2 linked regions of the Macaca fascicularis genome follow. The protein of the gene in region 2 interacts with the protein of the main gene of each other region in a pairwise test. Links are inferred from orthologs where the notes say so. Each region holds a gene or a part of one and is shown on either strand. Other genes may lie near its edges. The genes, in order: NELFE and NELFB.

Region 1 (15,517 bases), on a different chromosome or scaffold from region 2:
GCTGCTGGGATTACAGGCATGAGTCACCACCATGGCCAGCCAATTCACTTTTTTTTTTTTTTTTTTTGAGATGGTGTCTTGCTCTGTTGCCCAGCCTGGAGTGCAGTGGTGCAATCTCGGCTCACTGCAACCTCTGCCTCCCAGGTTCAAGTGATTCTCCTGCCTCAGCCTCCTGAGTAGCTGGGATTACAGGCATGTGCCAGCATGCCCAGCTAATCTTTGTATTTTTAGTAGAGACGGGATTTCACTATGTTGATCAGGCTGGTCTCGAACTCCTGACCTCGTGATCTGCCTGCCTCAGCCTCCCAAAGTGCTGGGATTACAGGCGTGAGCCACCGTGCCTGGCTCACTTCTTCTTCTTCTTTTTTTGAAATGAAGTTTCGCTCTTGTTGCCCAGGCTGAAGTGCAATGGCACGATTGATCTCGGCTCACAGCAACCACCGCCTCCTGGTGATTGCAGGTGTGAGCCACCATGCCTGGCCCCGGCTTACTTCTTCTTGTTTTTATTATTATTATTTTTAGTGGAGATAGGGTTTCACCCAGTTATCCAGGATGGTCTCGATCTCCTGACCTCATGATCTGCCCACCTCAGCCTCCTAAAGTGCTGGGATTACAGGCATGAGCCACTGCGCCTGGCCTGGCTTACCTCTTCTTATAAGGACCCCAGTCATTGGACTAGAGCTCACCCTAATCCAGTATGACTCAATCTTAACTTGATTACATCTGCAAATACCCTTTTTCCAAATAAGGTCACAGATACTAAGGGTTAGGATTTGAACACATCTTTCTGGGGGACACAATTCTACCATTATAGGCAATAAACAGGATAAGAAAACCATAGAACCCAGCAGGTGGTAGGTGACACAAGCTAAGAGGTCTTGTCATGTTGCCCAGGCTGGTCTCAAACTTCTGGCTTCAAGGGATCCTCCCACTTTACCTCCCAAAGTGGGGATGAAAGTGTCTGGGGCATTGCAGTTTTAGACAGGAAGACCAGGGAAGGCCTCACTGAGAAGGTGACATTTGAGCCAAGACTTAAAAAGGTACGAAAGTGAGCTATGTGGAAGTCTGGGGGAGGAGTGAACTAGGCAGAGGCATAGCTGGGGCCAAGGGCCTGAGGTGTGACTACGCCTAAGGATTTGATAAACTTCAGAGAGGCTGTGTGCTACAGGAGAGTGAAGGGCAGGCAATGGCAGGAAATGAGGGCAGACAGGTAGCAGTGGGGAGGACGCAGGGGTCCAGCTTATGTAGGTCTTGGTTGGACACAGTGAGTTTCAGATGACAGCCTCCTGTCTCATGGGGTAGCCCCAAAGCCACAGGAGTCTGGTGATTTCCTTCTTCCCCAACAGACATCTATGCCATCGGGGTGGGCAAGCTGGATGTGGACTGGAGAGAACTGAATGAGCTGGGGTCCAAGAAGGATGGCGAGAGGCATGCCTTCATTCTGCAGGACACAAAGGCTCTGCACCAGGTCTTTGAACATATGCTGGGTGAGTGAGCGTTGCCCTCCCTGGTGTAGGGAGGATGGTGAGGAGCCCGTCAGAAGCCCACGTTGGGAAGCTAGACACAGTGCCCTTCATTTGCTTCCTTCCCCATCTGATCCTCACACCCACAGATGTCTCCAAGCTCACAGACACCATCTGCGGGGTGGGGAACATGTCAGCAAACGCCTCTGACCAAGAGAGGACACCCTGGCATGTCACTATTAAGGTACCAGGAAGGAGGGGCGGGGCTTGGATTCCAGAGGTGAAAGTGGCCATGGGCCAGAGATACTGCAATCCCTGAAGATCACCTGTTCCCCCTGTAGCCCAAGAGCCAAGAGACCTGCCGGGGAGCCCTCATCTCCGACCAATGGGTCCTGACAGCGGCTCACTGCTTCCGCGATGGCAACGACCACTCCCTATGGAGGGTCAATGTGGGTAAGGCAGGGGATGCACCAGGCTCCCGATCCTGAAGCCACAGATCCCACCACCTGACCCAGCCTCTGGCCCCTGCAGGAGCCCTGGTCTAGCCTAATCTGGCATATCATTTCCAGGAGACCCCAAATCCCAGTGGGGCAAAGAATTCCTTATTGAGAAGGCAGTGATTTCCCCAGGATTTGATGTCTTTGCCAAAAAGAACCAGGGAATCCTGGAGTTCTATGGTGATGACATCGCCCTGCTGAAGCTGGCCCAGAAAGTAAAGATGTCCACCCATGCCAGGTGCCTGGAGTCTGGGATGGGAGGGTGCCCTCCAGGGGAGAGTGCTCTGGAGAGCCCTGGAAGAGATACTGGGGACAGGCTGGTGTGACTCTTGCTCTTCTCCCCAGGCCCATCTGCCTTCCCTGCACCATGGAGGCCAATCTGGCTCTGCGGAGACCTCAAGGCAGCACCTGTAGGGACCATGGTGAGTGCTGGGACTTATGGTGCTTGAGAGCTGGGGCCGGGGTTTAGGGGTGATAACAAGGACTAGGCTGCAGTCCCCAAGCCAGGAATCTGGATTCTGGGTAAAAGGACCAGCACCAATATCCTCTTCTCTTGACTATAGAGAATGAACTGCTGAACAAACAGAGTGTTCCTGCTCATTTTGTCGCCTTGAATGGGAGCAAACTGAACATTAACCTTAAGATGGGAGTGGAGGTGAGGGTCTCAGGTTGGGGATGCTGGGATCCCCCTGTGACAGCTCGCAGAATCTCTCTCTTCCTTCTCCAGCTCTGGCTGCTTTCTCTCTCTGACGTGGGTCACCTCTCCTCCCAAGTCTCACAAACCTGCTAGGTGTCCCTGAGTCTGCTTATTCTTTTGATGTTGTTGAGATGGAATCTTGCTCTGTCTCCCACACTGAAGTGCAGTGGCACGATCTTGGCTCACTGCGACTTCTGCCTCCCAGATTTAAGTGATTCTCCTACCTCGGCCTCCCAAGTAGCTGGGATTATAGGTGCTTGCCACCACATGCAGCTAATTTTTGTATTTTTAGTAGAGACAGGATTCCGCCAAGTTGGCCAGGATGGTCTTGAACTCCTGACCTCAAGTGATTCGCCCACCTCAGCCTCCCAAAGTGCTGGGATTACAGGCCTGAGCCATTGCACCCAGTCAGGTCTGCTTATTCTTCCCTTCTCTCTGGTTCCACCCCTACGGCAGTGGACAAGCTGTGCCGAGGTCGTCTCCCAAGAAAAAACCATGTTCCCCAACTTGACAGATGTCAGGGAGGTGGTGACAGACCAGTTTCTATGCAGTGGGACCCAGGAGGATGAGAGTCCCTGCAAGGGTGAGTCCCTCACCATGCCTGGATTCCCAAAGGGGAAGGCCACCTGTGTCTCTGTGGCCAGGGTGCATGCCAGAACACCAGTCCACTGCCCTGTATGACGCTGTCTCCTGTCACCCTTTGCTGGCAGGAGAATCTGGGGGAGCAGTTTTCCTTGAGCGGAGATTCAGGTTTTTTCAGGTGAGAAGGTGGAAGCTTGCAGGACCCAGGGGTTACAGGATGTCAGCCTTGTTGGGGGGATGAGGGAGGCCTTTGAGGGATCTAGGGAGGTTGGGGCTTACAGCTGGAGCTGTGGCAGCCTCCCAGCCAGTTCTCTCCTTTTCTCCAGGTGGGTCTGGTGAGCTGGGGTCTTTACAACCCCTGCCTTGGCTCTGCTGACAAAAACTCCCGCAAAAGGGCCCCTCGTAGCAAGGTCCCGCCGCCACGAGACTTTCACATCAATCTCTTCCGCATGCAGCCCTGGCTGAGGCAGCACCTGGGGGATGTCCTGAATTTTTTACCCCTTTAGTCATGGCCACTGAGCCCTCTGCTGTCCTGTTAGAATCCGCCCCCCCTCCATCTTCTACCTCTGAATGCCCACCCTTAGACTCTGTGACCCATGCCGTCTCCTAGTTGAGTAAATCTGGGTCTCTAGGATGCCAGGGGCAGCGCACACAAGCTGGGAAATCCTCAGGGCTCCTACCAGCGGGACTGCCTCGCTGCCCCACCTCCCGCTCCTTGGCCTGTCCCCAAATTCCTCCCCTGGTTGACTTGACTCATGCTCATTTCACTTTCATATGGAATTTCCCAGTTATGAAATTAATAAAAATCAGTGGTTTCCACATCTGTCTGTGACTCTATCTGGAGGCCAGGTAGGGCTGGCCTGGGGGGAAGGGGAGGCCAGAATGACTCCAAGAGCCACAGGAAGGCAGGTCAGAGACCCCACTGGACAAACAGTGGCTGGACTCTGTACCATAACACACAAGCAACAGGGGAGTGAGCTGGATCCTTATTTCTGGTCCCTAAGTGGGTGGTCTGGGCTTGCTGGGGAGGAGCTGAGGCCAGAAGGAGGTACTGAAGGGGAGAGTCCTGGACCTTGGGCAGCAAAGGGTGGGACTTCTGCAGTTTCTGCTTCCTTGACTGGCAGCTCAGCGGGGCCCTCCCGCTTGGATGTTCCGGGAAAGTGATGAGGGTAGGACAGGCGGGGCAAGCTGCAGGTGCCAGAACACAGATTGCATAAAAGGCCGGGAGCTGGTGGGGGGCAGGGGAAGGGAATGTGACCAGGTCTAGGTCTGGAGTTTCAGCTTGGACACTGAGCTAAGTAGACAAGCAAAACAAGCCAGGACACGCCATCCTGCCCCAGGCCCAGCTTCTCTCCTGCCTTCTAACGCCATGGGGAGCAGTCTCAGCCCCCAGCTCTACCTGATGCCCTTCATCTTGGGCCTCTTATCTGCAGGTAAGTGAGGGTAACCTTCCCTTCCTGCTGTCCCCAGCATCCCTCCTTGGCCTTTTGGGGCCAGGCTTCATCAGCCTTTCTCTTCAGGTGTGACCACCACTCCATTGTCTTCGGCCCAGCCTCAAGGATCCTGCTCTCTGGAGGGGGTAGAGATCAAAGGTGGCTCCTTCCGACTTCTCCAAGAGGGCCAGGCACTGGAATACGTGTGTCCTTCTGGCTTCTACCCGTACCCTGTGCAGACACGTACCTGCAGATCCACGGGGTCCTGGAGCACCCTGCAGACTCAAGATCGAAAAACTGTCAAGAAGGCAGAGTGCAGAGGTTTGAGGGCAATGAGTGTGGGCAGTGGCCTAAGGGAGAAACAGGGCAGGTGGCAGCAAGGTCAGGACTAGGATGAGACTAGGCAGGGTGACAAGGTGGGCTGACCAGGAGTAGGAGCAGTTTTAGGGTTGTAGAGGGAAAGGAAGGGAAAAAAAAGGGGAGTTAACCTTTAGTAAGCATTTACCCTGGGCTTCCACGCAGCCCTGGAAGTCAAGAGAACACTCAGCAATGGGGAGGGAGGAGCAGCGGAAACCCCTATGGGTTGAAGGGTAGGTAAGATGCAGCTTCTGCAGGACTGGGAATGCTCTGTTTCTCAGTGACCTGGTCTCTGAGACCAGGAGGGAAACACCTAAGGCAGCCTTTCCCTCTTGATGACTTCTACTTCTCCCCTCTTCTCAAAGCAATCCGCTGTCCACGACCACAGGACTTCGAGAACGGGGAATACCGGCCCCGGTCTCCCTACTACAATGTGAGTGATGAGATCTCTTTCCACTGCTATGACGGTTACACTCTCCGGGGCTCTGCCAATCGCACCTGCCAAGTGAATGGCCGGTGGAGTGGGCAGACAGCGATCTGTGACAACGGAGGTGAGAAGCATCCTCTCCCCCTACATTGCTGTCTCCCTGACAGCGCCTAGTCTGAGGAGTGGGCATTTGCCCCTGGACACTGTAACTCTTGCTCTCTACCTTGCCCTCGGGGCCTCAGGCTTCAGCGCTTACCTCCATGTCTCATGCCTCTGCAGCGGGGTACTGCTCCAACCCAGGCATCCCCATTGGCACAAGGAAGGTGGGCAGCCGGTACCGCCTTGAAGACAGCGTCACCTACCACTGCAGCCGGGGGCTTACCCTGCGTGGCTCCCAGCGGCGAACATGTCAGGAAGGTGGCTCTTGGAGCGGGACGGAGCCTTCCTGCCAAGGTGACCCTTGACCTGTACCCCCAGGTCAGATCCTGATCTTGCATCCTACTGTCTTCTCTCCCCACCTCAACCCTGCTCTTTCCTCACTTCTTTTAAACCTTCCTCTAGAACTGTCTCACTTCTGAGCCTTTTCTACCCTGGAAACCCACAATCCCCCGTCTCTTTGGTCACTGTGTCCCTGACACTCCCAGACATTTGACCTCATTTCTGACTCTCCCAGACTCCTTCATGTACGACACCCCTCAAGAGGTGGCCGAAGCTTTCCTGTCTTCCCTGACGGAGACCATAGAAGGAGTCGATGCCGAGGATGGGCACAGCCCAGGTTTGAAGGCAGAGAGGGGAGGCAAGGCAGGGAACTGGGGGAAAATGGAGAAGGGACAAGATAATCATTCATGCTGGAGCCTGAGTCACTCTCCTGGCACCCAGGGGAACAACAGAAGCGGAGGATCATCCTAGACCCTTCAGGCTCCATGAACATCTACCTGGTGCTAGATGGATCAGACAGCATTGGGGCCGGCAACTTCACAGGAGCCAAAAAGTGTCTAGTCAACTTAATTGAGAAGGTGGAGTCCTCCTATCCCTGAACTTGGGGGAATGGAATCTTGCTGATCTTCCAGGACTAGCTCCCTGATCATTCCAGCCCCTCTGAACCGCAGGGCCCCAGGAAAGTCTCCAGGTCCTATTCTGTCCTCCTTCCCTTGTACTTGATTCCTCCATGAACCTGTGCTTGAGCCTCTTCCTAAGAGCCTCCCTGTCCCAGCAACGTTGCTGAAGTCTCCCAATCACAGTATTCTACTTTCAATGCCATGGCGCCTTGTTCTCCTCACCCACAGGTGGCAAGTTATGGTGTGAAGCCAAGATATGCTCTAGTGACATATGCCACATACCCCAGAATTTGGGTCAAAGTGTCTGACCAAGAGAGCAGCAATGCAGACTGGGTCACGAAGAAGCTCAGTGAAATCAATTATGAAGGTCAGAGGTTAGGGAATGGTGGGAGGTTCACTTTGGGGTCAGGAGGTTCAGGAGTGTTGTGTGGAGGGGGTCATGAGACTACCTTGAGGGCAACAGGGGGACCACTTTGTAGTCAAAGGTTGAACAGCAGGGTCATTGGGCAATGGAGGTTAGTGGGAACCTGCTGAGGGCTGGAAGGGCCACTTTGTGGTCAAAGGGAAGTCCATATGATGATTAACTTAAAAAGTTGAAGATGTGAGATTTCAGTTGCAGATTGGTCTCTGGGGTTAAAAGATGGCTTGGAAGACCAGGTGAGGCGATGCTCTCTTCCCTCCCCACAGACCACAAGTTGAAGTCAGGGACTAACACCAAGAGGGCCCTCCAGGCAGTGTACAGCATGATGAGTTGGCCAGAGGACATCCCTCCTGAAGGCTGGAACCGCACCCGCCATGTCATCATCCTCATGACCGATGGTCAGAAGGGACCTCTCTCCTGTCCCAGCCTCCCCACCTTCTCAGACCAGCATGTGGCCCTTAAGTCCACTTGTAACACTATACCCATGGTTGGGGCCCTGAATGTGACTCGTAACTGGCTGTTCATCTCTCCTGTGACCCTTCATAAAGAATTATTCCTAAAGCCCTGTGATCAACTACCTCTAACCCTTCCTCAACTTACTCACCCTGCCACGTGTATCACTGCCTCTAGCCAATTTATCTTATCTCCTACCCTCATGGTCCCGTCTCTTCTGCAGGATTGCACAACATGGGCGGGGACCCAATTACTGTCATTGATGAGATCCGGGACTTGTTATACATCGGCAAGGATCGTAAAAACCCGAGGGAGGATTATCTGGGTGAGTAACCTGCCTAGGACCCAGCACCCTACTTCCTCAGGGCTTGGACCGTCATCCTTCCTTTTTCTCCCTCAGATGTCTATGTGTTTGGGGTTGGACCTTTGGTGGACCAAGTGAACATCAATGCTTTGGCTTCCAAGAAAGACAATGAGCAACATGTGTTCAAAGTCAAGGATATGGAAAACCTGGAAGACGTTTTCTTCCAAATGATTGGTAGGCAGACACAAGGGAATCAAGAACGCAACTCTCCTCAGCTTCCCCTGAAATAATTCATTCTTCCTCTACCCCTGAAGCTCTAGTTGCCTGGAAAGCCTTCTTCATTCCTCCTTCTCTACCTCAGTATCACTATTCTTGTTTCCTGGCACTGTTTGCTTCTTAACCTTAGAATCACAGAGCTCTAGGCACTTCAGAGATCTTTCTATTGTCCTACATTTGACACATGTGGAAACAAAGGCCAAAGGAGGTCAAGGGGCAGCAAGCTAGCAACAGGGCTGGGCTTGAAAACAGCCAGGCCTCTGATAGCTTGATCCCAAGTTCTTTCCCTTTTCACTCCACCACAGCAGTTTTCTCCTAACACGAGGAAACAAATACCTGTGGCCTTTCCCTTTCTCCTTTTGGGCCTCTGCCCCCCACAGACTTCTACCCAAAGGCTGCTGCCGTTTGGGAATGAAGTGTTCCAAGTTTTCAGCACATTCTCCTTCTCTGCCAGATGAAAGCCAGTCTCTGAGTCTCTGTGGCATGGTTTGGGAACACAGCGAGGGTACCGATTACCACAAGCAACCATGGCAGGCCAAGATCTCAGTCACTGTAAGCACAGAATCCCAGTAGTGAGGACTTGGGGGAGGTGAGGTCAAGGTGAAATGGGAGTAGGGGAAGGGCAAAATGGCCGTAAGAGATGGTGGTTTGTGAAAGTTGAGTTTTCCCTTTCTACTGTTCTGTTCCCAGCGCCCTTCGAAGGGACATGAGAGCTGTATGGGGGCTGTGGTGTCTGAGTACTTTGTGCTGACAGCAGCACATTGTTTTACTGTGGACGACAAGGAACACTCGATCAAGGTCAGCGTGGGTAAGGATGCAACTGAAGGTCCCGGGCTGCACCTACGCCCTCCAGGCAACACCTCCCACTTTCTACAGATCCCACACTCCACTCATCTGCAATGCAGCCCCATCCCTTGCACCCCAGACCAGTCAGGGATGGGGAAGACTTGAAGTTAGGAATGACATGGGGCCAGAGGCAAGAAGCTGCCCACAAAGAGGTGGTACCTATTCTCCTACTTCAAGGGAAGAAGCGGGACCTGGAGATAGAAAAAGTCCTATTTCACCCCGACTACAACATTAGCGGGAAAAAAGAAGCAGGAATTCCTGAATTTTATGACTATGACGTTGCCCTGATCAAGCTCAAGAATAAGTTGAATTATGACCCGACTATCAGGTGAGAGCATCCAGATCCCTGAGGAAAGGCTGGGAAAGGCTGGAGGACTGGGGTGAGGAGCAGGCCTAGTTTGCTGTTCTTTCTCCATCCTTTATAGGCCCATTTGTCTCCCCTGCACCGAGGGAACAACTCGAGCTTTGAGGCTTCCTCCAACTACCACTTGCCAGCAACAGAGTAAGACATACTAGGGGGGAGGATAAGGATGAGATCCCGAGACAAGTGAGGCATGAGAGGGAGATGCAATAGGAAGAGACGATGCCTGGCCCAGAACCTAGCACTAGGAAGGGCTTAGGGGACATCTGCTGAGTGACAAAGTCAATAGGGAGATGACAGTGGTGGGAGCAGCTGAAGTGATGCAGTCTATTTGTCCAGAGGAAGAGCTGCTCCCTGCACAGGATATCAAAGCTCTGTTTGTGTCTGAGGAGGAGAAGAAGCTGACTCGGAAGGAGGTCTACATCAAGAATGGGGATAAGGTGAGAAATGGGCATCCTAAGGAGGCACTCTAGGCCCTAATCCTTCCTAAGCCACCTCTGTTCATTACCTTTCTCCATGCTTCCCACCTCCCCTACAGAAAGGCAGCTGTGAGAGAGATGCTCAATATGCCCCAGGCTATGACAAAGTCAAGGACATCTCCGAGGTGGTCACCCCTCGGTTCCTTTGTACTGGAGGAGTGAGTCCCTATGCTGACCCCAATACTTGCAGAGGTGAGAGAACGCTCTCTGGTTGTGCTCCAAGTGCCCGAGGGCCAAGAGTCCTTTTCCCTACAGCTTCTCCTCTCCTTGCAGGTGATTCTGGCGGCCCCTTGATAGTTCACAAGAGAAGTCGTTTTATTCAAGTGAGTCCTCCCTTTCCTATCTGGGGAGATGCCAAGTGGTCAGCATGGGCCCCAAAGCAGGAAAGCACAATGCATGTGGCTAGTAATTCGAGGTGGGCAGAGCCTGCCTCACTTTAGGACTGCATGTCTGGCCTGTGTGTGTCAAGAATGAGGCTGAGCTGGGTCCCTAGCCTGATTCCTTTAGGTCAGCTAAGACACAATCAGGAACAGTCATGCTTCCAGGATTAGGAATTCTATGAATGATCCATGGCACCCCACTGCCTCTGCAGGTTGGTGTCATCAGCTGGGGAGTAGTGGATGTCTGCAAAAACCAGAAGCGGCAAAAGCAGGTACCTGCTCACGCCCGAGACTTTCACGTCAACCTCTTCCAAGTGCTGCCCTGGCTGAAGGAGAAACTCCAAGATGAGGATTTGGGTTTTCTATAAGGGGTTTCCTGCTGGACAGGGGCGCGGGATTGAATTAAAACAGCTGCGACAACACTTGTGTTCCAGATCCTTTTGGGGCAAGGGAGTGGGGAACGGGCACTGGCCATGTTGTTACACTGAGATCAAACCTGACACCCATTTTTAAAGGCTTAACCCCAATCCCAAGTGCTGAAAAACCAGAGGCTGAGGGAGATATGTAAGCTTCCACCTCAGTGTTTTACTGAGACCAGCATTGGGGCATTTGAGGCACAAGGAATCCAGCTCTGTTCCCTAGAAGCCATCCACAAGGTTTTCCTTGTAGACGTCATCACTGTAGACAATCTGGGTCCTCTTGTCCCGGTGGCAACCCTTAGGGCTGTTCTGGACAGCTAGGGAGGGAGGAGAGGAACAGTTAAGGTCTAAAGGAGATCATAGATCAGACCCTGAGGCTGACTCCTGACCACCTCAGTCCTGGCTGCTGGCCCCTGGAAACCCAGTTTCCACGCTGCCCTCTGGTGGCCAGGATGGCCTGTCTTCCTTAGCTCCTTTGTGCCAACCCATGGCCAAGGAGAGTGTAAGTGGACATTTTGATGAATGTTTTGTTCTTAGAAAAATCCCAAATGTCATTGTTGAGATATATGAATGATATTAACCCACTACTTATAGTCAGTATGTCAGAAGCTAAAAACTAGAAAACCTCTGTAGCCCTTTATTGACATGCTGGTCAACTCTAGTTCCTTTCTTTTGCCTGAAAGGCCACTGTTGCTCTGAGTCCTTCTTTCTGCTCACTCCTTTCCCAGGAAAATCTACTTTCAGGTAAATGGGTTACTCATACTAAGGAATGCTACTAGCTCCACCAGAACTCATCCAGCATGTAGCTTTGGCCCTCACCATTCTCTCTCAAGCCTCTAGCTGTTTCTTCCCCTTCCTCTTTTCCTCCCTCCACCAGACATGTTACTCTCTTCACCCCATCCAAAGATTCCATCCCCACCACCCTTGACCTAGAGAGAATCTCTCCCACCCACTTCTCATCCTGTGATCTCTGTACCTTGACACTGCTGGCTACTCCCTCTTTCTCAAAGCATGTGTCCTTTCGCTTCAGTGGCCCAGGCCCCTCTGGTGCTGCTCCCAGCCCTCTGACCCCTCCTCCTGTCTCCTTTGCTAACGTTAGGCTCAACGTTAGCCTAACGTGTCAGGAGAGCTGGAGACACGTGGGGCGTAAGGTGGACAGTCCTGTTTCCTAACATAGTCCCTGAGTATTCCTCAAGTCTAGTCCTGGGTCGTTTTTTTTCTCCGAAATCAGTCTCCCTCATGATCGGGGAGCCACCCTGTGATGCAGATGACTTAATCTATGTTTTCATTCCTTACCTCACACCTGAGTTCCAGACCCCTAATTTCAAATACTTACGAAATTCACTCTACTCCATCTCAAAATGAACAAGCCCCATGAGACACTCATCTTTCTCACCAATCTCACTCCAGCTCCCATTTTCTTCCCTGTTCCAGTCGCTGCTTTGGAAGCTGTTCTCAATCCTTTTCTCTCCTTTCTTTACCTCTAACTAACAGATGATCTGAAATTTTCCTTCCCATTCCCACAGCCTCTGCACACACTCTGACCTCGATAATCTCTAGGAAACCCAAGGATGTGTGGGGGAACCAAAAGGAGTGTGCTGTAGGGGAGAGGACGGGAAAGAAAATCCCATTCTTACCGAGGGAGCCCCAGACAGACTTGCCAGTAGCGGCATCCAGCATGGGCTGTTTCCGGGCTATGTTGACTTTGAGCTGTACAGACTCCACCTGGGTCCCGTTGAGCTAAAGCAGAAGAGGGGAGGCAGAGGATGGGGAGGAAAACATTACAGATACACCAAAGAAGCTATTCCAGGAGTTGCTATCCTAGGAGTAGACTGAATAAGGAATCTGAGAATGTAAGTTTTTCTGTGTGAATAGGGAGAGACTTTATCAAGAGGAACCAACTTCTTCCTGGCATCTAGTATTTTGATGAGAACACATGAGAACAGCAGAGGCGATGGGAAGAACAGATTTGCGAAGTTCCAACCTCAGCAACGGCCTGATCTGCTGACTCCATCTTTTCATAGGTGACGAAGGCACAGCTGGGATAAGAAAAAACAGGGTCAGTGGAGAGCCAAGGGGCTCTTCTGGACCCAACCAAACCCAGCGATCACAGGCGGCTGCCGGGAGGGCAGCTTCCTCCCTCAAGTCTCACACCCCAGGATTCGCCCAGGACTTCTCATCATGCCCTGTCGTCATCCTTACTTTCTGGGTGGGTCCATGGAGAGGTCAATGATGTTTCCAAAAGGAGAGAAGGCCCCACGGAGAAGGGTAGGCGTCATGTCTTCTCCGTATACATAGAGAGTATTCCCTTTCCTAGGGGCTCGCCGTTCAGGGAAGGAGTCCGACCCTTTGGGAGCAGGAATCACAGTCACAAGACATGGTCCATCCCACACTTCACTTAGTAGGACCCACATAAACCTCAGTTAAGGTCACCTTGACCTCCAGCCAAGATCACTCACTGCGGAAAGGACCCTCTCGGTCTCGGTCTCGATCCCGCTCCCGATCCCTGTCCCGTTCCCGGTCTCGATCTCGATCTCGATCTCGATCCCGATCCCGATCCCGATCCCTGTCCCGCTCTCGGTCTCTGTCTCGATCTCGCTCCCGATCTCGGTCTCTGTCCCGGTTCCTCTCATGGCTGCGGTCCCGGCTGCGGCTTCGGGGAGGGGAGGCTGAGGAGTGGGCACCACTGCGTTCTTCATAGCCCCAGTCAAAGCTTCGAGGGGGACCATCACCAGCCCCTGGGCCCTCTGCCTCTTCTCCATCTGGCCCTAGTTCTCGAAGTCGATCACTAGAAGACACAAAGCTGGGGAGATGCAGACTGAAGATCAAAGGGGGGTTTTACCTTCTCCCCTTGGACCCTGTGGAGACTCAATATTCCCTCAATAGCACAGCTTCTACAGCCCAAACCTCCCAAGGACTCAGGCAATCAACCCCGCCAAGTGGGCCCAGTCTTATCTCTACTCTCTAACCTCTCATACAGAGATTTCCTCTGGGGACGTCTAGATGACTGTAAAAGAGACCAAGAACAGTTAAGATGATTCCCAGTTGCTAACATGTAGTCCAAAATAAGTTAGTTTCTCATGTTCCTCCATCCCCAACCCCTCAGGGACAGAAATTAGAAGCCTTTACCTCTTGCAGGTCATCATCAGCAGATATGCTCCTCTGGAACGGCTGGAAAGTGGGGACTGGTCCCTTCTCGGGGTCCTGGAGAGGGGAGAGACCTACCTCAGTGTGGAGCAGGAGGCTGCCCAACCATGGAACAGAGATGTTCCTCTTCCCTCACCCTCTTCTAGATCTCCTCTGATCTCTTCTTTCCTTTTAACACTATATACATTTCTTATTTGACTATGTGGTTTTATTTATTTGTTTTTATTTTTTGAGACAGGGTCTTGCTCTGTTGTCCAGGTTGGAGTGCAATGGTGCAATCATAGCTTGCTGCAGCCTTGACCTCCCAGGCTCAAGCAATCCTCCTACCTTAGCCTCCCTAGTAGCTGAGACTAGAGATGCGCTCTACCATGCTTGGCTAATTTCTGTTTTTTTTTTTTTTTTTTTTTTTTTTTTGTAGAGATAGGGTTTCACTATGTTGCCAGGGCTGGTCTCAAATTCCTGGGCTCAAGCAATCCTCCTACCTTGGCCTCCTAAAGTGCTCTAATTATAGGAATGAGCCACTGCCACACCTGCCATTGCAGCTTTTTGGTTTTGTTTTGAGATAGAGTCTTGCTCTGTCGCCCAGGGTGGAGTACAGTGGTGCGATCTCCACTCACTGCAACCTGTGCCTCCTGGGTTCAAGCAATTCTCTGGCCTCAGACTCCTCAGTAACTGGGACTATAGGCGTGCATCACCATGCCCTGTGAATTTTTGTTATGTTTAGTAGAGACGGGTTTCACCATGTTGGCCAGGTTGGTCTCAAACTCCTAACCTCAAGTGATCTGCCCACCTTGGCCTCCCAAAGTGCTGGGATTATAGGCATGAGCCACCACGCCTGGTTGATACTTTTTATAAGTGACTTGATATGTTATATATTCAGTTTATTTCAACCTCTCTTGAATCTGATAACATTTTCTGCCCTTTCCATCCCTTAGAGCGACATATTCCAAGAGCTCCAATCCAAAGTGGATTAGAACTACAAAATTTGTAAAATGGAGAATTCAGGAGTCATCTAGTTTTTTCATTTAATATTTGAGAGGCAAAACTCAGAATGGTACAGCAATTTGCCAGTGCTCGAGTATGCATATTTTTCCCCAAACCCATCTACATTCCAACTTGGAGGGATGCCCTCTAAACAATCCTTCTGTTTGTGCTCACCTTTAACTTCCCCTCAAGGGTTCGAGAACGCTTGAAGCCTGAGTTCTTGGTCTCAGCCTTGATGGCACTGATGGCTCCTGATTTCACCAGCTGCTTTGCCTGCTCTGTTGCTGTGGCTGTGTCCACGACAGGCTGCTCTGATAGTGCTGGAGTGATAAGGGGAAGAGGCATTATGTTGACCAGGCCATGATGAAGGTCAGCCCCATGCTGCCCACTTCCAGTCCATCCCCATTTCCCCTGTCACTCACAGCGTTTGACACCGCCTTGGCTGGTTGTGCTGCTGCTACTTTGCTTCTTCAGAGCCAGCAATGCCTTTTTCTGGGAACAAGGGTGAGAGGAGAGAGGTCAGTGAGGGCCAGCCCCTAGCCGGTTCCTCTCCCAAGACCCCTGGGCACATCACTCCAGGGACCATCTTTCTTGATGTCTTTAGAGTGGTGCATTGATGTGCTCTGCCTCTTGCCTCTGGTCCCCTAGATCATGAATGATGCCGGAAATTCCTAATCTAACCAAACCACGGAACCCAGAGGTTTTCCAGAGTGTTACATTTTTGAGGTTGAAGACAAAGAATTTGATCATGGACTAGAATCCTAGGATATAAGCTGCAAGTAAGTATAAGTCTATGTGCCTTTCCTGGAGGCTTCATCCATCTATTTCCTGCATATTGAATAAGGTCCAGACATGACTTTGTAACAGGGATATCCAGGAGGATAAAGCATTGTTTCTACCCTCAAGAAGCTTATAGTCTGAGAAATAAAAATA
Region 2 (15,728 bases):
CCACCACACCTGACCCAGTTTTTAACTTTTTTTTTCTTCTTTTGAGACTGAGTCTCACTCTGTCGCCTAGGCTGGAGTACAGTGGTTGCAATCTTGGCTCACTGCAACCTCCGCCTCCCGGGTTCAAGTGATTCTCCTGCCTCAGCCTCCTGAGTAGCTGGGATTACAGGGGCACACCACCACACCTGGCTAATTTTTGTGTTTTTAGTAGAGATGGGTTTTTACCATGTTGGTCAGGCTTGTCTTGAACTCCTGACCTCGTGATCTGCCCGCCTTGGCCTCCCAAAGTGCTGGGATTACAGGTGTGAGCCACTGTGCCCGGTCTAATTTAACTTTTTAAAAGAGAATTGGGCTGGGCACGGTGGCTCATGGCTGTAACTGCAGCAAATTGGTAGGCCAAGGTGGGTGGATTACCTGAGACCAGGAGTTCGAGACCAGCCTGGCCAACATGGTGAAATCTCGTCTCTACTAAAAATACAAATATTAGTCAAGCGTGGTGGTGGGCGCCTATAATCCCAGCTACTCAGGAGGTTGAGGCAGGAGAATCACTTGAACCTGGGAGAATGAGGTTGCAGTCAGCGGAGATCACACCACTGTACTCCAGCCTGGGCAACAAGCAACTCCGTCTCAAAAAATTAAAATAAAATAAAGTAAAATATAAAATTAAATTAAATTAAAATAACATAAATAAAATAAAAATAAAATAAAATAATAAACTCAGCCGGGCACAGTGGCTCAAGCCTGTAATCCCAGCACTTTGGGAGGCCAAGACGGGCGGATCACGAGGTCAGGAGATCGAGACCATCCTGGCTAACACAGTGAAACCCCATCTCTACCAAAAATACAAAAAACTAGCCGGGCGAGGTGGCGGCCGCCTGTAGTCCCAGCTACTTGGGAGGCTGAGGCAAGAGAACGGTGTAAACCCGGGAGGCAGAGCTTGCAGTGAGCTGAGATCCAGCCACTGCACTCCAGCCTGGGCGACAGAGCGAGACTCCGCCTCAAAAAAAAAAAAAAAAAAAAAAAAATTACAAAAAATTAGCCGGGCGTTGGCGGGCGCCTGTAGTCCCAGCTACTTGGGAGGCTGAGGCAGAATGGCGTGAACCCGGGAGGCGGAGCTTGCGGTGAGCTGAGATTCGGCCACTGTACTCCAGCCTGGGTGACTGAGCGAGACTAGGTCTCAAAAATAAATAAATAAATAAATAAAAATAAAATAAATTTAAAGAATAACAATAAAATAAGCAAATAAAGGCCGGGCGCGGTGGCTCAAGCCTGTAATCCCAGCACTTTGGGAGGCCGAGACGGGCGGATCACGAGGTCAGGAGATCTAGACCATCCTGGCTAACACGGTGAAACCCCGTCTCTGCTAAAAAATACAAAAAACTAGCCGGGCGCGGTGGCGGGCGCCTGTAGTCCCAACTACTCGGGAGGCTGAGGCAGGAGAATGGCGTGAACCCGGGAGGCGGAGCTTGCAGTGAGCTGAGATCCGGCCACTGCACTCCAGCCTGGGCGGCAGAGCCAGACTCTGTCTCAAAAAAAATAATAATAAAATAAAATAAATAAGCAAATAAAATAAAACAAAATAAAATAAAAATAAAAGAATCAACCTAGGACTAAGCAGACCAAGCAAGTCCCTCACAGACAGAAATCGGTATGGGCAGCACCAGGTCACCAGAAGAGATGGGGCAGGAGAAAGGCCTGGGAAGTGCAGGGCACCCCACCGTTCGCAGAGGGGTCCAAGGGCTCTGTCTGACAGCAACGGAACAAGAAAAAGGCCCGTGGAGGACCTGACTGGGAATAAACAAACAGGGAAGGGAGGACAAAGGTGGCACTAGCCACCCCCAACAAGCCCATGCACGTGGTCAGGACCCACGGCCTGAAGGGAGCCCAGAGCCACACGAACTCTTCAGCACTTGAAGTGCAATAGTTCAGAAGGGCGCTAAGTGTGAAAGACTCACCAGGTTTCAAATCTCAGTGATGCTCCCACAAAAAGCATTACAGTTCAGTATTTTTTTTTTGCTTGTGAGACAGTGTCTCTCACTCTGCCGCCCAGGTTGGAGTGCAGTGGCTCAATCACACCTCACCGCAGCTTCAATCTCCTGGGCCCAAGCGATCCTTCTGCTTCAGCCTCCTCAGTAGTTGGGACAACAGGCATGCGCCACCATGCTGAGTTAAATGTTTTTTCTTGTAGAGACAAGGTCTCCCTTTGGTCTTCAACTACTAAACTCAAGCGATCCTCCCACCTCAGCCTCCCAAAGTACTAGGAGTACAGGCGTGAGCCACGCTACCCAGCCCAATCCTTCACATGAATTACATGCTGAAAGATAATACTTTGGATACACGGGACCAAACAAAACATTAATGAAATTGATCTCACTTTTTTTTTCTTAATGTGGATATTGAAAAATCTTAACTTATAGTTCACTTTATCTTTCTATCGAACGGTGCTAAAGTTGGTTACGGCCAGGCTCACACCTATAATCCCAGCACTTTGGGAGGCCAAGGTGGGCGGATCACCTGAGGTCAGGAGTTCCTCTTGGTTCAGCCTGGTCAACAAGATGAAACACTGTCTGTACTAAATAAATACAAAAATTAGCCAGGCATGGTGGGGCTGGCCTGTAGTCCCAGCTACTCGAGAGGCTGAGGCAGGAGAATTGCTTGAACTCAGGAGGCAGAGGTTGCAGTGAGCCGAGTTCGAGGCACTGCACTCCAGCCTGGGTGACAGAGCAAGACTCCATCTCAAAAAAAAAAAACCAGAAAAAAAAAAAAGGGCCAGGCAGAGTGGCTCATGCCTACAATCCCAGCACTTTGCGAGGCCAAGGCAGGCAGATCACGTGAGCTCAGGAGTTCAAGGCGAGCCTGGCAAACACGATGATACTAAAAACACCAAAACTGGCTGGGCATGGTGGCACACGCCTATAATCCCAGCTACTGGGGAGGCTGAGGCAGAATAGCTTGAACCCAGAGGCAGAGGCTGCAGTGACCCCAGACCACACCACTGCACTTTTGCCTGGGTGACAAGAGCGAAAGTCCTGTCTCAAAAAAAAAGGGAAAAGGCCGGGCGCGGTGGCTCACGCCTGTAATCCCAGCACTTTGGGAGGCCGAGGTGGGCGGATCACGAGGTCAGGAGATCGAGACCATCCTGGCTAACACGGTGAAACCCTGGCTCTACTAAAAATACAAAAAACTAGCCGGGCGAGGTGGCGGGCGCCTGTAGTCCCAGCTACTCGGGAGGCTGAGGCAGGAGAATGGCATAAACCCGGGAGGCGGAGCTTGCAGTGAGCTGAGATCCGGCCACTGCACTCCAGCCTAGGCGTCAGAGCAAGACTCCGTCTCAAAAAAAAAAAAAAAAAAAAAGTAAAAAAAAAAAAAAAAGAACGGAGTGAACCCAGGAGACGGAGCTTGCAGGGAGCCGAGATCGCGCCACTGCACTCCAGCCTGGGCAATAGAGAGAGACTTCGTCTCAAAAGAACAAAGAAAATTGTCAGCAAGTTTCAGTTTAGAACAATGCCAATATTATTAACAGACAGAACCCTGGGTTTGCTATCCTCTGAAGAATGAAAAACAACTCAACTGCAACCACATTAACAAATCATTTAAATACCTGAAAACTGAAGGACCAGGCCGAGCGCGGTGGCTCACGCCTGTGATCCCAGCACTTTGGGAGGCCAAGGCGGGTGGATCATAAGTTCAGGAGAGCGAGACCATCCTGGCTAACACAGAGAAACCCCAGCTCTACTAAAAATACAAAAAATTAGCCAGGCGTGGTGGTGGGCACCTGTAGTCCCAGCTACTTGGAAGGCTGAGGCAAGAGAATGGAGTGAACCCCAGGCGGAGCTTGCAATGAGCCAAGATCGCCCCACTGCACTCTAGCCTGGGCAACAGAGCAAGACTATGTCTCAAAAAAAAAAAGAAAAAAGAAAAAAAGAGGGCTACCCCGGCTACTCTGGCTCAGCATGGCTGCTTTGGCAACTGTTCTCTTCATAGGTGTCTGGAGGCTGCACTGTGGTGCAGCCGCTTGGGCGGGCGGCCAGCCAGTGGCTACTACAGCAGGGACTGGCGGCCAACCCCTCCGGCTACGGGCCCCTTACAGAGCTCCCAGACTGGTCATAGGTGGACGGCCGCCCTGCTCCCCCAGTGAAAGGCCAGCGTGGAAGAAAAGCTGAAAGGGAGAAGTTTGCAAGACGAGTTGTACTGCTGTCACAGGAAATGGACGCTGGATTACAAGCATGGCAGCTCAGGCAGCAGAAGTTGCCGGAAGAACAAGAAAGCAGGAAAATGCTCTTAAACCCAAAGGGGCTTCACTGAAGAGCCCACTTCCAAGTCAATAAAAAGCAACTCTTGCCTCCCTTTCTCAGCCCCTCTCTGGATTTCTTATCACCTAGATGCTTCATCCCAGCCAGAAGAGAGCCTTCACATTCCCCATCCGTGTTCGGAGCAAAAGAGCCGGGACACCAAGAACAAGCTGTTAGATCACTGCCTGGGAGGTCTGGCTTAGTGCCCTCATCTCTGGCTCCATTCCAGTTCAGCTAAGTCTTGCTTTAAAATGTTTACCTCCTTTGCAGGCCATAGGACTGGCCCAACTATGAGAAATAGCTGTTCTGTGAACATGAAAACGGGACAGCAGTTTTCCTGGTTCTAGCCAACACTCAAGCCTTTACCAGCCCACACACAGCTTAGGCCATGTATAGCTGTCATCTAATACATGTTTTCGTGAAACAGAAAAAAAAAAGTTGAAGGACCAAACAGAACTTGCTTTTTAGAGGTGGGCCGGGGGCGGGGAGGTGCCATATACAGTGGCTCACGCCTGTAATCCCAGCACTTTGGGAGGCCGAGGCGGGCGGATCATGAGGTCAGGAGATCGAGACCATCCTGGCTAACACGGTGAAATCCGGTCTTCAATAAAAATACAAAAAATTAGCCGGGCGTGGTGGCTGGCGCCTGTAGTCCCAGCTATTCAGGAGGCTGAGGCAGGAGAATAGCGTGAACCCGGGAGGTGGAGCTTGCAGTGAGCCAAGATCAGGCCATCGCACTCCAGCCTGGGCGACAGAGCGAGACTCCGACTCAAAAAAAAAAAAAAAAAAGACCGGGCGCGGTGGCTCAAGCCTGTAATCCCAGCACTCTGGGAGGCCGAGGCGGGCGGATCACGAGGTCAGGAGATCGAGACCATCCTGGCTAACACGGTGAAACCCCATCTCTACTAAAAAAAAAAATACAAAAAAAACTAGCCGGGTGAGGTGGCGGGCGCCTGTAGTCCCAGCTATTCGGGAGGCTGAGGCAGGAGAATGGCGTAAACCCGGGAGGCGGAGCTTGCAGTGAGCTGAGATCCGGCCACTGCACTCCAGCCCGGGCGACAGAGCGAGACTCCGTCTCAAAAAAAAAAAAAAAAGAAGTAGCGGAGGCAGGTGCTGTAACTTCTCATTAGGGGCCTTTCTGTGGATTTTAATGTTGTCCATATATCACTTTAAAGAAAAGTAAACTACAAACATAAAAACCACCAACATTCTTTCCAGCACGGGTACAGGCCAGCTCTCCCCCGCCGCCCAGCCAAGAAGCAGAACCATCCAACCATTCACAGGGCAGCAGGGTGTTGATCCCCAGGCAGCTGATGGGGCCAGCCATGGCACCCCCAAAAGGTGCCCCGCCCTGCACACGGCCTGTCCCCTCACCTCGCCCTGGCGCCTGGTCTTGGGGGAAGGGCTGAAGAAGTTGTGCAGGACAGAGAGCTCTGTGCTGAACAGCGCGCTCTCCTTCTCCAGGATGTACTGCTTCAGCAGCGGGGAAACCTCGTCCCCAAAGAGAGCCTGGTTGTCTTGCCAGATCTGCCGCTTCACCTCCACGGCACAGGCTCGATACAGCTCCTTGTCAGCCATGACTAGCTTCAGCTTTTTCTCAGGAACCTACATGACACCACAGGCAGCCTGTGAGTGGCCCCTGTGTCCCTGGATCTCCCTTAAGACAAGCCAAGAGACCTCAGCCCCCCCCCTCCCAAGACCACCTCCCGCTAAGCCCTACCCCACAGGACACCTATGACAGGTTCCCTGGCCCCAGCAGGTTCATGCAGACAAGCCAAATACCAACAGCTCTATCCCAGGGCGGGCCCCACACCCCAACTCCAGTGCTAAGGTTCAGTCTCCACGCTGCTCATGCAGGAGAAGCCAGACAAGCTCACCATAGACAGCACTCCGGCAGGCGGCGTGGGAAGCTCCCGGAGCTAGGTGGCCACCAGAACTTCCACCAACTTAAGGGCATGAGGGGTGGGCGGACGGTCCACGCCATCACGTCCGGGTTAGGGTTAGGACCCTACCTTGGGCAGGTGCTTCATGACGCACATCACCACGGGCTGCAGGGACGGCATCTTGACCAGAGAAAAGCTCTTCTCCAGAAGGTCTTCCAGCTTCTTGTACCTGCAACAACTCACAGGATTGATGGTGCAGCGATGCGCCAGATCAGAGCAGCTACCTGCTTGTCCCCACACAGGTAACAGCTACCAGGACAAGCCTCCACGCGCAGGACACATGGGGCAAGGCTCCACACTCAGACACAGAGCCAGGCCACCTCTGGGAGCAAGGATGTGGAGCCAAAAGGATGATAAATGCCCCTGAGTCGATCCAAGGCTGAGAAGACAGCCGCACATCTCACCTGCCCATCCCTCCCGCTGACCCACCTTTCCTCAGCCTTCCCTTCCGAAGCGATGGCTGACACTCGCTCCAGCAGCTTGTCCCGCAGCTCATCGAACACCGACTGGTGGAACTCCAGCCGCGGCGTCCCGTGCAGGTCCAAGAAAGGGAGGGCCGACTGAAGAGAGGGCAGCAGCACGCCATTCTCTGTCTGAGGAAGTCAAGAGAAATCTCAGCCGCAGCCCAGTGCGCCCGGGCACCCCAAGGTTCTAAGAGCTCGAACCCAGGGAGGTACGAACCCAGGTGTTCCCAGCCGTGCTGGCGGTAACCGCAGCCACCGAAAGCCACCCAGCCGTCCAGCAAAGGGATGCTGGCTCCGGACTCCACCCCCAAAACAAGACTCAGACACCGAGAGAAAGCCGGAAAACTTCCGGCGCCTCCGCCAGGCCCGACTCCGGCGCAGGCAGCCCTGCCCTCGCACCGGGCTCCCCCCGCCCCGGGGGCTGCCCCACCTGGAACTGCTCGATGGCCTTGAGTGGCTCCGTGCAGTTGGTCAGGGTCTCCTTCAGGTCCTCGCCGTTGGCCACGCCCAGGTCCTGCAGCCCCGCGAACATGGCCGAGGCCCCGGCCGCCGCCCGGCTAGGCGCCCCATCCCCAGCCCGCTCCCCCGGCGCCGCCGCAGACACCCCAGAAGCCCGCTCCGCCGGGCCTCGGGGGCCGCCCGAGCCCCGCTCCCCGGCGCCCTCCAGCTCGGCCAGGTCCCGCCCGCCGCGCGGCTCCGCGCGCGTCCTGCAGCCGCCCACTTCCGCCCCGCACTGCCCGGGTCCGCCCGCCAACCGGCCCCCTGGAAACGCCGCCGGAGCCGCGCGCAGGTTCCTGGGAGCAGCGCCCTCTCCCGGCGCGAGAGACCCCGCCCAGGCAGCCCACTGCGCATGCGCCCGCCCGGTCCCGCCCGCTCCCGGGGTTTCTGGCAGAAGAGGGCGGGTGGGAGCGTGGGGGCGGAAGCGGGGTCGGTCTGATCTGCCAACTGACGTCAATGTCAGCCGAGTGAATTTCGTGTACACAAGCTTGGAAAACGCTCTTGTTGATCTCGCGGCAGCCACGCGCCGCGGGGACGTTTTGCCGGGGGTTGAGCTCCCCGCCCCTCCGCTCTGCAGGTGCAGGACACGGGCGCAGACTCCCTCCCTCCTGAGCGTGGCTTCCTCCGCGTGAAACGGGCACGAAGCCCACCGCAGCGCTGTCGCCAAGACTGAGGTCTGAGCGCCTTCAGGGGGCCGGGGCCTGGCGGAGACCGGGCCCGCAGCGGGAGCGCGAGCGACGGCCGCCCTCCCCGGCACCGGGAGGCTGTGGCGCCCACCGAGCTCCGCGGAGCCGTGAGGGAGAGTCCAGTTTCCACAGTGTCCCTTCTCATCCCAGGCGGGTGGGCTTCCCGGGCCTCCCCGCCTCTCCAGCCCGCCGCCCTCCCGCAGGCAGTGCCCCGCCAAGCACCCTACACACACCCTCTCTCTTTTCGGTCTTCCCTGCCGAGTTTTTCTCTAGAAATTTCTTTCCCGCTGCCCAACAAACTCTTGCTCTTCCTTAAAGGCTCCTTCCTCCACCTCCTCCAGGAAGCCCTCCCTCCTCAGCCCAGCTGGAGGAGATCGTTGCATCCTTCCTGCCGCTCCCACTCCTAGCTTTGTGTCTCACCAGGGGTGCCTGGTGGTGCAGCCATGAGCAGAGCTCCTGTTCCCACAAGCGGGGCCAACCTCCCAAGGCCAGGGCTACCACGGCTCTCTTGCTGCTGGCCAAGTTGGTCACCCCAAGGGCGAAGGTACCAGTGCCTTGATCCAACCCCCAGCTGGTTCAGTGGCAGAGGAGGGCAAGGGACACAGCACACACACAGCCCTAGGGCCTTGGATTCCTCTCTGCCAAAGGGGATGGTGCTGAGGCCACAGGAGCAGCTGCCCAGAGCCTTTTTGAAGGGGTTGAGCTCTGGGCCTGGTCTGGGTCCTGGGTCTGGGAAGGACTTGGGGAGGTACAGGTGATGGCACTGCAGTTAAGCCTCCTGCAAGGTGGCAGCCTTGGGGCCCAACCCTGGGTAGGAGGGCAGGCCAGTGGTGACAAGGGAGGCCCCAGCCAGGTGAAGCTGCAGGCAGGGGCAGTACAGGGACCCGGCAGGTGAAGGCCCTGGGAGTCTGCTGGCAGTGCCACAGGAGTCTGCAGGGCCCTGGGCCAGAGTTTTCAGGGCACAGGTGACTAAGCCCAGCTGCGTCTTCAGCTCAAGGCCCAGGGGAAGTGGGGTTGGGCCCTGGTGAGCGGGGTCCCTGGGCCCTTCCTGAGACCTGGCCAGGCCGACCCCACCTGGAGGTGGCGGCTCAGGGCATTTGGTACCTCCTTCCAAGTTCCCTGGCTTGGCAAGCGGCTGACCCTCAGGTGGACAGCAACTGGACCAGGCCCCTAAGTGGCACGGCTGGGTGGGGGTGTCCCACAGAGCCCACCTCCCATCTCGCTCCAGGCTGGAGCTCAGGGTGAGTCGCAGGCTGCCGCCCTAGAGAAGAGAGCACCCTTCAGGGGCAGCCGAATGGAGATCCCTCAACAGGGAAAGCTGGAAATGACCCAGGACCGCCCCCAGGTGAAGGACACAACTGCACACCACAGAGCTCAAGAGAGCCAACAGCGTCTCTGTATAACAGGGAGGTGGCCAGATGAGGGATCCAGGCTGGGCCAGCCTTGTCTACAGCCCATAGAAGGATTGACCAGCCGGAAGGGTGCATCGGGGGTGCCCAGAGGGTCAGAAGGCCAGGCTGGGGCCCCGAGTCCCAAGGGAGGCCTGAGAAAGCCCCGGGGGAGGCCACTCGGTGGCTGGGCCAAGCAGGTTGTGCCCAGCTGGCTCTAGAGTGCACAGAAGGGGCCTGTGTTGTGGCGCTTGGGTCTGCGCACACCCTGGATGACCACGCCAGGCACTGAGGGGAAGCGTGAGTTGTAGCAGTCCTCCACGTAGTAGGCAGCTGGGCCAGGGGTTCGAGCTGCCAAAAGAGAAGGCTGAGAGCTCCACCCAGGTGGCAGCCCCCACTTGAACCTGGCTCCCGGTTCCCACCCTTGGCCCCTGAACCCTTGTCTTCACAACACGCACCCATGCCCCAGCCCTAGCCCTCCTCTCTCCAGGCCTCCTTACAGGTGCTGAGCCAGGAGGTGAACGCGGGGGAGCGGCTCATCGAGAAGGCCGGCGAACGGGGCCTCTGCAGGCGGCTCCCAGGAAGGATATTGTAGGTGTTGGGGCCAGGGTGTCTCTTGCCAGGTGCCTGCAAAGAGGCCTGAAGCAGGGACTGGGGCTGCATCCTGAGGCCCAGCCCCCTGGCTCCAGGCAGCCCTGGGCGGATGTGGCCCTCAGGTGTCTTGGAGGTGGAGTGGCGGCCTCTGAAGCTGAAGGCGGGGCCGGCGGGCCGGCTGAACAGCTGGTAGTGGGCTGGTGAGGGCCACTGCAAGGGGGCAGGAGACGGGGGCTGCAGGGCAGGGCGCTCCCCACGGATCCTCAGCCAGCTCCCCTTTGGCCCCGCTGGAACTCCCAGCCCCCTGCCTGCCCAGCCCCCACCTTTTGCTCTTGGTCGAAGTCGGCTTTCTGCGTGAAGGGGCTTTCACTCTGGAACCACAGAGTCTGCCATGCCCTGCGGCCACCGCCCTCTGTAGGTGGAGGGTGGAGAGAGAGAAGGCTGGGAGCCCCACCCAGGTGGCAGCCCCCACTCGAACCTGGCTCCCAGTTCCCACCCCCGGCCTCTGAACCCTTGTCCTCACAACGCCCACCCATGCCCCAGCCCTAGCCCTCCTCTCTCCAGGCCTCCTTACAGGCGCTGAGCCTGGAAGTGAACACCGGGAGGGTGGAGGGGCCCTCAGGCCGTGGCGGTTTCAGCTCAGAGGCAGAGGCCCCCATTCCCAGGGTGGAGGACAGGCCCGGTGGTCGGGCCTCAGGGAGGGGACACGCACCTCGGCCCCGGTGCCTGCAGCCGATGCTGTAGCGGGGGTGTGGGGAGGACTCTCGTATGGACGGGCTGGGCACCTGGTACCTGGTGGGACTGGGGACTTCCAGGTCAGCTGTGATCGGGGGGCGTTGCTCCAGCACTGGCCACAGGAAGCAAGCTCTGGGCCTGGGCTCCTTCCAGCAGGCCCCTCCCACAACCCCCAAAGACCAGCGTTGGGGTGGGGTGGCCGGGACCCTCACTCACACAGCTCTCTCAGGGTCTGGGTGTAGGTGGGCAGGGACTCCTGAGGGGTGCCCATCTGTAACCTGAGACCAGCTGGGACCTCCTTCATCTTTGGGAGCCGTGTCTCATCCCAGGCCAGCCCTGGCTCCAGGCCCACCAACAGCACAGATGCCTTGGGCCTGCAAGGGAGACCGGCAGCCACTGTCCCTCAGTCCCCACCACTCTGAGCCGCCTGCCCCACAGCCTGTCCCCCACACTGTCCCTCAGCCCCCTGGCTGCTCCCAGCCACCAGCCCAGCAACCTGCTCCCCCACTCTGTCCCTCAGCCCTGGCCACTCCCAGCTGCCTGTCCCACAGCCTGTCCCCCACTCTGTCCCTCAGCCCTGGCCACTCCCAACTGCCTGTCCCACAGCCTGTCCCCCACACTGTCCCTCAGCCCCCTGGCTGCTCCCAGCCACCAGCCCAGCAACCTGCTCCCCCACTCTGTCCCTCAGCCCCCGAGCCGCCTGCCCCAAAGTCTGTCTCCCTAACTGTCCCTCAGCACCCCCCCGCCGGCTACTCCCTGGAGCCTGCCCCTACCCTCTGTCCCTCACCTCCCAGGCTGCTCCCAGCCGGCCTGTCCCACAGCCCTCCCCCCACCGCTGTCCCTCAGCACCCTGGCCACTCCCAGCCGGCCTGCCCCTTCCCGCCCCACCGCCCCCCTCAAGTTACTGGCTGGGCTCTGGTGGCGTCTGCCTCAGGTGGCCGTGGGTCCAGTGTTTGCCTCCATTGATGTAAAAATTTGCCAGGAATTTCACTGCCTTCTGGTCAAAATTCATCATCAGAGTCTCCTGGCTCTCTTCCCCGAGGGCACCACCAGGCTCTGTGACCTCACTGGTAGGCCCCTCTGTTGCTGGGGCTCCTGGGGAAGATGCATTGTCTGGCCCTGGAGGGGCGGCCCCGGGCCCCCACGCCGGGCGGGCCCCTCCCCCACTAACTAGATGATCACGGGGTCTGCCTGGGCCAGGACCCCCAGCCTGCCCCAGTGACTCCTGGCCCAGCCCTCTCCCTTTCCCCCTAACTTTCCCAGCATTCCTCCCCTCTCCTGCACCCTGGGGTCTCCTGGAAGTCTGGGGTCCACTCTAGCAGGTCCTCTGGGAGGACTGAGGCCTCAGCAGAGGGGGTGGAGGGAACAGGACCCAGGGCATCCGCCAAGCCCTAGGAGATGCCCAGCTGTGTCTGGCCAGCCAGGACTCCCTGGGGGTAGGAGGGAGGGGTCCAGGAAGGATCCCTGGAGGAAGAGGAGGAGCTGCCACCCCACCTGGGTTCCCACTTAGGGAAAAAGCAAAGCCACATCAGATGGGTCTGACACCAGAGGCAGGCCCGGCCCTGGGGCCCAGCCAGGACTGGAGTGTGAGGGCCTGCCTCTCACCTGGGGACACAGAGACTAGAAGGTGTCACTGATGGCCAGGCTGCCTGCTCTGCAAAGGAACAGCCAGCCTGCGTGAGCAAGAGCCCGTGTGGGCACCAAGGCCCTCGCTGTGTGGCCTCTGGAGCTGACCGCCAGCCGGTCCCAGCCCTGACCTTGGCCCAGAATCCACCAGGGCGGGGCCTGTGAACAGGGCCAACTCGGGCCTCCTCCGCCCTCTCTGGATGCCTGCCCTTCAGCACTGGGCCTGCCAGGCAGACAGATGGACACATGCTTGAGGAAGCACAGGATTTATCTGGGCGAAGGGTTCACGCCCTGAGCTCCGGAGCCCCTGTCCAGGTCGCGCCAGGTTCAGAGTTGACTGGCTGCCAGTGGAACAGAGTGCACTTTGCTCATGAAGCCCTTGTCATTGGACAGATAGGCCCCTCCAGGTCCTCCCTGTCCTGTAATAAACGTTGCCGCTGTGAATGGCGCTGCTGGACATCCATCCTCTCCTTCGGAAGGTGCGTGGGGGAAATGCTCTCGTGGTGTCCGGCTCTGCACCCACACCACCACAGCCGTCACAGAAGGAGGCTTTTGTTCAAATGTTGGGGGGGTTGTTCCCCCACACACCAAGCTGGGTGTCCTCTAATTCATTTCCTTCACCATCTACCTGGAGACAGTGTCAGATCCCACAGGGTGAGAGCTCCCTCCCAAGACGGCCTCCAGACACAGACGGGGGCAGGGCCTCCAGACACACACCAGTCGCAAGCCTGGGCCTCTGGAACTTCTGACCAACTGGCTTCAAGTTGGGGTTCCTATGACACCCGCTTTGGGTTTAATTTGGTGTAGCCACTCATAGAACTCAGGGAGGCCGGGCGCGGTGGCTCACGCCTGTAATCCCAGCACTTTGGGAGGCCAAGACGGGCAGATCATGAGGTCAGGAGATCGAGACCATCCTGGCTAGCCTGGTGAAACCCCGTCTCTACTAAAAATACAAAAAAATTAGCCGGGCGAGGTGGCGGGCGCCTGTAGTCCCTGCTATTCAGGAGGCTGAGGCAGGAGAATGGCGTGAACCCAGGAGGCAGAGCTTGCAGTGAGCCGAGATCGCGCCACCGCACTCCAGCCTGGGCGACTGAGCAAGACTCCGTCTCAACAAAAAAAAAAAAAAAAAAAAGAACTCAGGGAAATGCTGATGTTTACTGGTTTGTTGTAAAGGATATTGATTGCAAAGGATACCAGTGAGAGGCATGGGGATGGGCTGGTGCTTCCATGCCCTCGCTCACTGGTCGCCGCCCTCTGGGAACCTCCAGCTGTTCTGCTGTCCAGAAGCTCCCTGAGCCCCAGTCATCTTGGCATTTTACAGAAGCTTCCTGATGTCAGCATTGCTGTCCCTGGGGCTTGGGTGAGACCTCTCCTGGGAGGGTCTTAAGACCCACAATCAGGCCGGGCGCGGTGGCTCAAGCCTGTAATCCCAGCACATTGGGAGGCTGAGACGGGTGGATCACGAGGTCAGGAGATCGAGACCATCCTGGCTAACATGGTGAAACCTCGTCTCTACTAAAAAAATACAAAAAACTAGCCGGGCGAGGTGGCGGGCGCCTGTAGTCCCAGCTACTCGGGAGGCTGAGGCAGGAGAATGGCGTGAACCCGGGAGGCAGAGCTTGCAGTGAGCTGAGATCTGGCCACTGCACTCCAGCCTGGGCGACAGAGCCAGACTCCATCTCAAAAAAAAAAAAAAAAAAAAAAAAGACCCACAATCGGAAAGGCAAGAATGTTAGCATCCTGCGTTGGGGCAGACGAAAGGAGGGCAGGAGAAGGTCAAAGTCCCCCACCCACACCCCCCCAGGCCTTGTACACCCAACATTCTAACACAAGGCCCTATCAAGGGCTGTGGGAATTACCAGCCAGGAGCGGTGGAGGAGAACCAGCGTCTACCAGAATGCCAGACAACTTCCTAGGAGTGGAAGCAATGGTCCAAGTTTGTAGTGTCTTGTATGGACTTGATCTGTATGTACCAAATTGCTTTCCAGAAGGTGCCACCCGAATTAGACGTCCTTCTCACCGTGAGCCTGCCAGCAGTAAGCCTCAGAAACTGCTCTCAACACACAATCAGCATGTATGTGATTATGGTTCGACTTGATGCCCGCACACTTAACGGACTGTGGTCTTTTTTCTTTTTTTCTTTTTTTTTTTTTTTTGAGACAGAGTCTCGCTCTGTCGCCCAGGCTGCAGTGCAGTGGTGCTATCTTGGCTCACTGCAAGCTCCACCTCCCGGGTTCACGCCATTCTCCTGCCTCAGCCTCCCGAGTAGCTGGGACTACAGGTGCCGCCGCCACACCCGGCTAATTTTTTTTTTTTTTTTTTTTTTTTTAGTACAGACAGGGTTTCACCATGTTAGCCAGGATGGTCTCGATCTCCTGAACTTGTGATCCGCCCACCTCCACCTCCCAAAGTGCTGGGATTACAGACTTAAGCCACTGCGCCTGGCCAGTCTTTTTTCTTTTTTTTTTTTCTTTTTTTTTTTTTTTTTTTTTTGAGGCGGAGTCTCGCTCTGTCGCCCAGGCTGGAGTGCAGTGGCGCGATCTCGGCTCACTGCAAGCTCCGCCTCCCGGGTTCCCGCCATTCTCCTGCCTCAGCCTCCCGAGTAGCTGGGACTACAGGCGCCGCCACCACGCCCGGCTAATTTTTTTGTATTTTTAGTGGAGACGGGGTTTCATTGTGTTAGCCAGGATGGTCTCGATCTCCTGACCTCGTGATCCGCCCGTCTCGGCCTCCCAAAGTGCTGGGATCACAGGCTTGAGCCACCGCGCCCGGCCCAGTCTTTTTTCTTAAAAAGTTCATATTGGCCGGGCACGGTGGCTCATGCCTATAATCCCAGCACTTTGGGAGGCCGAGGCGAGCGGATCATGAGGTCAGGAGTTCGAGGCTAACACGGTGAAACCCCATCTCTACTAAAAATACAAAAAAAAAAAATTCATATCATGTCTGCATTTTCCATGAGGTGTTGTTTATATCTTTGTTTTGTGAGAGCTTTTAATGCTGATACTGTCATGCCCATCCATGTGAAGAGACCACCAAACAGGCTTTGTGTGAGCAATAAAGCTTTTTAATCACCTGGGTGCAGGCGTGCTGAGTCTGAAAAGAGAGTCAGCGAAGGGAGATAAGTGTGGGGCCGTTTTATAGGATTTGGGTAGGTAAAGGAAAATTACAGTCAAAGGGGGTTCTCTGGTGGGCGGGAGTGGGGATCACAAGGTGCTCAGTGGGGGAGCTTTTTGAGCCAGGATGAGCCAGGAAGCAAGGACCAGCCATTTTCACTTCTTTTTTTTTTTTTTTTTGAGACGGAGTCTCGCTCTGTTGCCCAGGCTGGAGTGCAGTGGCGCGAGCTAGGCTCACTGCAAGCTCCGCCTCCCAGGTTCACGCCATTCTCCTGCCTCAGTCTCCTGAGTAGCTGGGACTACAGGCACCCGCCACCATGCCCGGCTAATTTTTTTTGTATTTTTAGTAGAGACGGGGTTTCACCGTGTTAGCCAGGATGGTCTCGATC

The links.
Region 1: the proteins of NELFB (region 2) and NELFE interact in binary tests that used the Homo sapiens proteins (3 or more experiments, as listed by UniProt). The link is inferred for Macaca fascicularis from reciprocal best matches to the Homo sapiens genes NELFB and NELFE.

The regions. Positions count from the first base shown.
Region 1 is NC_088378.1:139,751,556-139,767,072, reverse strand, and holds the end of NELFE (negative elongation factor E), read right to left. Parts: intron 15,077-15,517; coding exon 15,007-15,076; intron 14,905-15,006; coding exon 14,759-14,904; intron 13,658-14,758; coding exon 13,583-13,657; intron 13,461-13,582; coding exon 13,423-13,460; intron 13,257-13,422; coding exon 12,913-13,256; intron 12,801-12,912; coding exon 12,656-12,800; intron 12,493-12,655; coding exon 12,438-12,492; intron 12,194-12,437; coding exon 12,091-12,193; intron 10,771-12,090; coding exon 10,673-10,770; 3' UTR 10,458-10,672; downstream 1-10,457. Other genes in the region: complement C2, read left to right, coding at 1,347-1,487, 1,613-1,707, 1,805-1,916, 2,033-2,198, 2,306-2,382, 2,524-2,615, 3,114-3,240, 3,368-3,417 and 1 more; CFB (complement factor B), read left to right, coding at 4,609-4,672, 4,760-4,993, 5,395-5,580, 5,736-5,909, 6,130-6,231, 6,336-6,472, 6,743-6,881, 7,202-7,333 and 10 more. UniProt on the Homo sapiens protein: Essential component of the NELF complex, a complex that negatively regulates the elongation of transcription by RNA polymerase II.
Region 2 is NC_088389.1:2,051,109-2,066,836, forward strand, and holds the start of NELFB (negative elongation factor B), read right to left. Parts: upstream 7,434-15,728; 5' UTR 7,232-7,433; coding exon 7,130-7,231; intron 6,829-7,129; coding exon 6,665-6,828; intron 6,405-6,664; coding exon 6,305-6,404; intron 5,898-6,304; coding exon 5,667-5,897; intron 4,329-5,666; exon of another isoform or gene 3,948-4,328; intron 1-3,947. Other genes in the region: protein STPG3, read right to left, coding at 9,489-9,622, 9,772-10,075, 10,189-10,277, 10,578-10,712, 10,817-10,974, 11,506-11,615. UniProt on the Homo sapiens protein: Essential component of the NELF complex, a complex that negatively regulates the elongation of transcription by RNA polymerase II.